Tribolium castaneum: one gene and its partner. The protein of the gene in region 2 interacts with the protein of the main gene of each other region in a pairwise test. Links are inferred from orthologs where the notes say so. Each region holds a gene or a part of one and is shown on either strand. Other genes may lie near its edges.

The links.
Region 1: the proteins of Nrx-IV (region 2) and patj homolog interact in a two-hybrid assay, tested with the Drosophila melanogaster proteins (2 studies listed by BioGRID). The link is inferred for Tribolium castaneum from reciprocal best matches to the Drosophila melanogaster genes Nrx-IV and Patj.

What each region holds. Positions count from the first base shown.
Region 1 is NC_087403.1:1,764,375-1,768,518, forward strand, and holds the start of patj homolog, read right to left. Parts: upstream 2,828-4,144; 5' UTR 2,694-2,827; coding exon 1,953-2,693; intron 1-1,952. UniProt on the Drosophila melanogaster protein: Involved in cell polarity establishment. Probably participates in the assembly, positioning and maintenance of adherens junctions via its interaction with the SAC complex.
Region 2 is NC_087400.1:9,577,556-9,581,778, reverse strand, and holds the start of Nrx-IV (neurexin-4), read left to right. Parts: upstream 1-1,408; 5' UTR 1,409-1,561; coding exon 1,562-1,622; intron 1,623-2,123; coding exon 2,124-2,228; intron 2,229-2,282; exon of another isoform or gene 2,283-2,302; coding exon of another isoform or gene 2,303-3,124; exon of another isoform or gene 3,125-3,148; intron 3,149-4,223. Other genes in the region: L-aminoadipate-semialdehyde dehydrogenase-phosphopantetheinyl transferase, read left to right, coding at 2,303-3,124. UniProt on the Drosophila melanogaster protein: Seems to play a role in the formation and function of septate junctions.

The DNA.
Region 1 (4,144 bases), on a different chromosome or scaffold from region 2:
AAGATACGACGAAAATACGTTAAAAAAAGTAGAGCGTGAGCCGGCTCAAGAAAAAGTTAAAAGTATGTACGTAACTAAGCGCTTATTTCATTTTGTCCCCTTCAGAAATATCGCTGAAAATAATTTGTTTTGAATGTCGAGTTTGAGAGTTTTTTCCGGCACCGTAAACGTGAATGAAAATTATTTATCTTGTACGTTGAACTTGAAAGTTTTTTGGTAGCGAAGATATCAATGCAAACAATTTGTTTGAATGGTGTTAAACTCGAAAGTTTTTTGGAGGAAAAACAGCGATTATACGTCTCTCGCAAAAAAGTATCAGGTGTTCGTATCGTCAATGGCCATTCATTTGTGCGTTCAGCACGTGCGCTCCCAGTTTCTACAAAAATAACACAAATCTGCGAGGAAAAATTGTCTGAGCGCAAATAGCGATTTATTTGGATTTTCAGCTTACTGTAAAAATATTAAAAAAAAATCCATCACGTACAGTTTCTGCATAATAATTCAATGAAGCAGTCTAAGGGCCATTTTTTCTTATGGATTAATAGTTTTTGAAAAAATACAAACAAAAGCAAAATTTAAAAATATATAATTTGCCAATTATTGAAAATTTGGAATTTTCTTGACGTCAATCGATTTTCAAAATCATTTTACACAAGTTCACATTAAAATAAATCTACTTTTTCGAATAATTTAAAAAGTGAGTGTGTGAATATTTCAACATGTTTAGACATTCATCAGGGAATAAAGCTTTCTAAATAATCTATTTAGAAGATTATCATAGCAAATAATAATAATTTATTTACGAGCTAGAAATGGGTTGAGAAAATAACCGAGTTAAGTAAAAATTTCTGGCCCAAGATTGAGCTAAATCACTCAGAAATGGCTGAATCATGTAACTAGGCACAGAACAAAAAAATCAAAATAAATATGTAGACGTATAAATTTATTTATGTCGTTTTGGTCCCTTTTCAAATTTCCTTATTCCTTTTATTTATCCATAATTCATGTTATATATTTTTTCTTTTAAAAACTTGGCAGCTTGTTTCTCTCATGGGCTAAGTTTCTGGTTCAAAAACGAGCTAAAACGCTTGAAATAATCGAAAATAGCGTAAAAAATATGTATGTAACAATCTGACAAGCTTGGGAAAATGATCTTTACAATACTTTTATCTCAAGTAATTTTTTTTAAATATAAAATGAATACTTACTTGTATGTAGGTTTATTATTTGTCTGAAGTTTTTCTTTATTTTTTTCTTTTTATGGGTTAGGTACAATTTTACATCAAATCGGAGCCTTTTTATAGTATATTTTCTTTATATTATAAGAAAAAAACGTTACTACACATATTAGAAAACTATTGCCAAAATAAGGCGTTCTAAAGCAATTTAATAATTTTAAAGCGATTGTAAATAACAGAGAATATCAGTGCAAAGCGTAGTTTTCGTCTCAAATGAAGCCATTTGACTAAATCCCAACCGATTTGGCTCCTTTTTAAGCGAGAAATCGTATTTCAGTGAAACATGCACAAAAGACGTTGTTTTTGGCGAAAATGGTGCGATTTGAACCAATTCCAAACTAGTTCAAGCAAAGAATGACTGTAAATCAATGTGTCAACGGAACCAGCCCAAAAATTGCAAAAAATTTCAACCAAAACTGTATTAGATCTCTTCGCAACAGCCGAAATATAAAAAGATACTATAATTAATTAAAATCAGTGTAATTGATCGTACGTGGGCTTTTTTAAAGTTCACTGAAAAAAGTTTACATAAAAAACGTCCTTGCTATAAGAAGCTGTCCAAACGTTTAAATTTAATTGCACAGCAATTCCCGCTTGTTGTAAAAAAATGTTTTTAACGGAATTTCTTTCTTACTCAAAATAACAAGAAAAGTTAAACTCGCGATTGGTGGTTCAGTGAGTGTAAAAAACAGCCGATGTGTTTGTTGGCCCCACCTGCAGAATGTGGTCCCCGCTCTGGAGCCGTCCGTCCCTGTCGGCCACTCCCCCTGGCAGTATGGTCTTGACGACAACCCCCATATTCCTCATCCCCACGATGCCGAAGCCTAGCCCCGTGCCATCATTGATGAGATCAATGCTCTCGACCTGCGACCATTCGCTGCTGAGCAGGCTGTCGGAGCCCGTTTTGGAGGCGTCGCTCCCTATCGAGGGGGACCTGTGGATGACGTCGTCGTCGCCGGCCCCGAAAGCCTGGTTGTTCTGCAGGAGGCGCAGCGTCTCCTGGTTGCAAATGTTACCGTTTAGCGTTTTGCTGTTAAGGAGTATCATCTTATTGTCAGTGGTGTTGAAGGGATGCACGTGGGGCGAGCCGGGCGAGATGGGGGCCGAGGGCACGCGCTGCTCGTCGAAGTCGCGAGCCGGCTGGTAGTCGTCGGCATAGTCAGGGTCGTACAGCTCCCCGGAAGGGGGCACGTTCAGCACCAACTCGCCAGATGCTGTGATGTCGAAATCTACGGGCAAAATAGAGGGATGCTCGCCCAGTTGCTGGTTCAGTTCGCTTAGGGAGTCTTGCACGGTGACTACGCTCCGAAAGACGGGGTTTTCCAAAACGGAGATTAATAAACATAGGTCCTGATATGTGTTTACTTGAAGTTTCGGATCGCTCAACTCGTCCACTGTCTGTTTTATGTCTTCTAGTAGTTGTAAAGCACTCGAAATATCGGCATTCAAATGCATTATTTCTTGTTTTAAGTAAAATTAGTAAAAGGAAAATAAAATCTAAGTACACGAACACACCCTCAACTTTGCACCCTTTACTTGAAAAACAAAACGAAACGTCAGCTGTCACTTTCCAGCAGTACCAACACCGACAAAACCACTGGACTGGCGAAGTACAAGGTCAAGCAATAAAAGATGTTTTTTTTACTCCTAATTTATTTTATTTACTTAGTATACACAATTATTTTACAGAATATTACATGAACTTAAAGAACGAAAAATGCAACTCTAGTATACTTCGAAAATCAATTTTCCACCGAAAGTAACAAAAATAAGGACATGTATAGATAGAACAGACAGTTTGCGGTCACATTTCATGATGGTCAGAAAAAGAACGATGATTTACTAATGTGAAGAAAATACATTTATCACAAGGCACAACGTGTGTGAAAAAATACATTGTTACACTGATATGGTTAGAAATAAATCTGTAATAGTCGAATTGAGCGTAAAATTAAAGTATCACAAGTGGTTACAAATACTGTTTTTGTAGCAAATCATCTAATATGCTTATGCACGAAACAATGTTCTTGCGTAGTGATAAATATTTTCTCCTTATGGCGTTCAAATAAATGCATGAGTTCGATCAAATGCTAAGACAACATACAAAACAGCAAAGATAGCACATAAATAATTTTGAAGAAAGCTTGTGTATACAGAAAGAGAGGAACATACATACATTTTTACGAACATTAACCCTAAAAACGTTTGTGTTGAACTGCATTTAGGTAACAGTAGCACTTAACTAACTACCCAAAAAATCTACGGTTGTAATCATAACCGCGCTGATCATTCATCCAATCCAACTCTGACACAAAAATATATTAATCTGTTATCAGCCTTTTACATATTTATGACTACAACCGATAGTCAGTACTTTATATTTGAGTATAAAAGTGCTTTAAAAAAGTAATACAAAATACTTATTAATTAAATTCAGTACAAAGTTATCATTTAATTGTAAAATTAGTATGTAGCGTTACTTTATTATTTTCTGCGAGTAATTTAAACTTTTACACCCATTATAAGAGCGAGAGACAGACGAAAACGGAAACATTATTTACAAAGGAAATAAATACAGCCAGTTGAATTGTGCACAATTTTAAAACACTAACACCACTAAATGAATGCAAACGTACAAAACGCCAACTAATCGCTTAGCCAAGACTCTGCGCTTCTGATAATAGGTATAGAATTCACTCTCTAGGTACAGAAGGTTAAAAAATCATAAGAACTGAAGTTTGATTTTCAGATAAGCAAGATTTGGTTTTATTTTACAGAGGTTGAAGAAAGTAAGTTGAGCGCAGGGGCTTTTAATCGCGGCACTCAAACACTTGACTAGTATTCCATTTGAAATAAAACTTCAAAGCAATAAAACTACGAGTGCCCAAAATGCAAAAGTACGTCAA
Region 2 (4,223 bases):
TCATACGAATATATATTTGTACCACAATGGTTTTCATGAAAGTAAACCAAAAGTATAAATTATAGGTCACAAACACAGATTTTCGGGGAAACGATCTTCCAAAGAAAAACGTCGTTTACTACATCAGTGGGTACCTGGCCAGGAAGTGTTTGGGCAAATACACATATACCCAACCTGCAAAGAGTACGCCATAACGATGGATGAACTTGACGCTTCTACACTTTTCACGCACTTCAAAGGACAACACACAGAAAAATCCGGTGGCACAGGTGGGGCAATTCACTTGAAGCGGACCACTCAAATAAATGCGACAACCTGAAATTCGGTTATAATTGTTCTCTTAAAAAGTGTGAATGTAAATACGTAATGATTTGTTTGTGAGCGATTTATTTAAAAAGTTATTGACTTCTAAAAATTGACCAAATATTAAGCATAACGTTTTTGTAAATTGTTTTTCTAATTATACAATATATAACAAAATATTTAAAATGGTGTTTTATACACAAAATTCACTGTTCTTTGTAACTCTAAAATCAAATTTGAAATTTGAAATTTTTTCGTATTGAAAACCGAAAGTGAAGTTTCAAATCCAAATTTTAGTAACATGGACCATTTTTTTAAATTTGTTTTTATTTTAAAAAATAGCTTAAAGTAAATAGAGTTTACACTACAAGTCGCAAAATGGGAGTTTTATTCGTTTAGGAGATATAATACTTAATGTACTCAAAAACGCGTAATTTCTTGCGTAAACCGGCCGATCACGTACATTAAGTACTGTATTTCCTATAGGAATAGAGATCCCATTTTGCGACTAATAATGTAAATCCTAGATTATAAGCAATTTTTTGAAATAAAAAAAAATGAAAAAAAAAATGGTTCAAGTTACTAAAATTCGGATTTGAAACTTCACTTTCGGTTTTCTACACGAAAAAAATTCCAAATTCCAAATCTGATTTCAGAATCAAAAAGCACAGAGAATTTTCTAGATATATAAAGCACTATTTTAATTATTCTGGTATGCATCAGTTTTTTTGAATAAAAGCTTCCAAAAACTGTCTCATATTTCGTCAAATTTTTAGAAGTCAATATCTTCACAAATAAGTGTCATACAAAAAATCATTATGTATTTACAATTATGCTTTCTAGGAGAACAATTATCCCGAATATAACCGAATTTCAAGATACTTTTGGAAAACTTTTAATGCATGTAAAGTCAACACGTATTACTGGTTGCCTGTACTTACCAATTTTGCACATCATCTTAAGAAGTAGATAATGAATAATTTTCAAAACTGATATCAAAAAACATAGAATCAAAAATTCGTATTTTACAAACAAACACACTTGTCAATGTCGCCAATCGGAGCCACCCATTGGTAAAAATTCCCAACTGGGTCAGTTGGCGACCCTGCAATGGGTGTAACTGTCGTTTGTTGACTACAGCTTGAGTCATCAGCATGATTTGATCAAATAATTTCCAATTTTTTCATTTGCAGTGTACACCAAGTGTTCGTTTATTAAACTTCAGTAATTATTTCGTACCAAATCGTGGAATGTAGTAATGGAAATCACGAATTTTCTTTGTTTCTTTTTAACTGTGCTTGGACAAAGTGTGTTTGCAGGTAAATTTCAACTCCAACTGTCATTAAATGTTTATGATATTGATAAGTAGATAAAACATTGATAAGGAATAGATAAGGGAGCTTCAAATATTGGTCATAAAATCATAACCTAAAAAGGTGCAACTTCACCAATATTAGAGCATCGCCAATGTTGGGCCCCTTAATTATTTAATTAAAACAGTTTTCGGTTTATTTTAGTGCATTTTGACCTGGCACCGGTCTCAATTTGCACATCTATTTCCGATAATGTAAATAAGGATGTATATTTCTTCCTTTTTATTGATTTTTCGTACTTAATCACTATTTTTAATCCCGAATCGAACTGACCTCTGTCCTGTTTATGATAAACCGGTTCAAGGAATCAGAAAATTAGAATTTTAAACACTGTTATTTCCGTTTATGAAAATTCGTAACCACTGTTGGCTGTGAAAATAGTCAATTGACAAGTACCCACTCGATTTTTTCATTGCATCCTCAACCCACTTGATTTTTTGATTTTAGACTTCTACAATGAGTACGAATGCAACAACCCGTTACTACAACGTGCCGTTTTAAAGGCCACATCTTCCATGCCGAAAAGGGGTCCCGAAAACGCCGTTTTGTGGGGTAAGTTTTTAATACCTCTCCCATCGTTGAAATATCAATGGAATGGTACTGTAGGTGCCCTTTAACGAGCAAAAATGTCGAATAAAAGTGTCCGTTGGGCTTTCAATTTATCCAAATGGGAGCCCTCCCATTCAGACATGTTGCTAGCAACGTCTTGTGTCCAAGTTGAGGAGAAAGAACGCTTAGCGAGATTTGTGTTCAAAAATGACGTTAAATCGTCGTTAATAGGTCGCTTGTTAATGAGGAAATTCGTTAACGAAGCGACCGGACTCAAATATAACGAAATTAAGTTCGCGCGCGATGAAAAAGGCAAACCGTTTCTTACAAATAACAATTTTCCGATAAATTACAACGTGTCCCATCAGGGGGATTACACGGTGTTGGCTGGGTGTAACAGTGCGGGTTTGTTGGGGGTAGATGTGGTCAAAGTGGAGTTTCCGAGGGGTAAAAGTTTGGGTGAATATTTTAGATTAATGTCGCGGATTTTTTCGGGAACAGAGTGGGAAAAAATTAGGGGGCAAGGTAGCGAGAAAAATCAGCTGGCGATGTTTTGTCGACACTGGTGCTTGAAAGAGAGTTATCTGAAGGCTGTAGGTGTCGGAGTGACGATAAATTTGCAAGATGTTTGTTTTAAAATAAACTCGGATGTTTTGAGGAAAGATCGGGTCGTTGATGATACAGAGGTTTATTTTAGAGGGGAAAAATTAGACTGGGAGTTTCAGGAGATGCTTTTGGATGATCAGCATTGCGTTGCCGTTGCAACGGAGGCGAGCACTGGCGAGAAATTTTTTTTCAAAGAGATTGGTTTTAATGAAGTTATGGAAAACGCTGTTGCTTTGTTAGAACCGGACGAGGATTATTGTAATAGTTTTTTTAAAAAGTGTGACAAAAGTTGATGTAATAAAGTGGGTTTTGGGGGATTTTTGTTTGTTTGTTTTTTTCGTACCATTCCATGATATTTTTACGAGGGTTGTTACGATTGGTACCATTCGTAGTATGGCACAATGTTTTAATTTGATGACCCGATTGCATGCAATTTGATTAGTTTGTCAAGTATTGATTGCATGGAAATTTTGTTTTATTAAGTTCGCATTCATGTTCATGTGGGGGAATCGCTTCTTTTACTTAAAAGTTTAAGAAACGTTTTTTGTTTGTGTTTTATTCTTATTGTTGGTAGTCATAGTTACCAAGTAGTTAGTTATTTTTTGTTGTGTTAAATTAGTCCGATAAATTATAATTTCACTATTAGGGTCGCTAAAACAATAGGGATTTATGAATTTATTCTGCTCTATTGCGGCATTTTACACACATTACCGAAATTTTGTACAAGTTTTTGCGAATAATGTTTGAACATGACACTGTTTAAAATAACCATTACATTTATAACTCAACTCAATGATTACAGATCTTTAAACTGTTATACCAAAAGTATATCAAAGAAAAAAAAATAACGAAAAATCTTCATAAATAATGAATAATAATATGGAAGTTACCTGTTATTAATTTTGGAAGAGGAGAGTTCTAATCTCAAAAACAAGTTTCAGGATCGTTCAAAAATTTCTTATAATTATAATTAATTAACATTACATCATTTTAGGACAAGTGAGCTTAACTGTTTTATGTTAAAAATCTGTAAAAAAATGTTGTTAGCTTCTAAAAATTATTAAATAATAATTAGCAATTCAAATAAACATTATTTAATCATTGTTTATTTTAGAATACATTGGAAATTGTAAAATTTAAAATAAAAGTATTTTTTTAAAACTTCATATTTTGCTATGGCCGAGATAATTTGGGCCGTGTGAATAAACTGAAGTAAATGCTTTTTTGTACTCATAGCTATTTTTAGCTATCTAAAATATTTAAGGTAGCTCCAGCGTGTGGGAAACGAACTTTCCCGCACTGCGGTGTTTTTTACTTTGCAACAATGGTTAGGAACATTTAATAGGTTGGTATCGTTACCCGTTGAGATAGAAACGATAATTTTTTTATGAT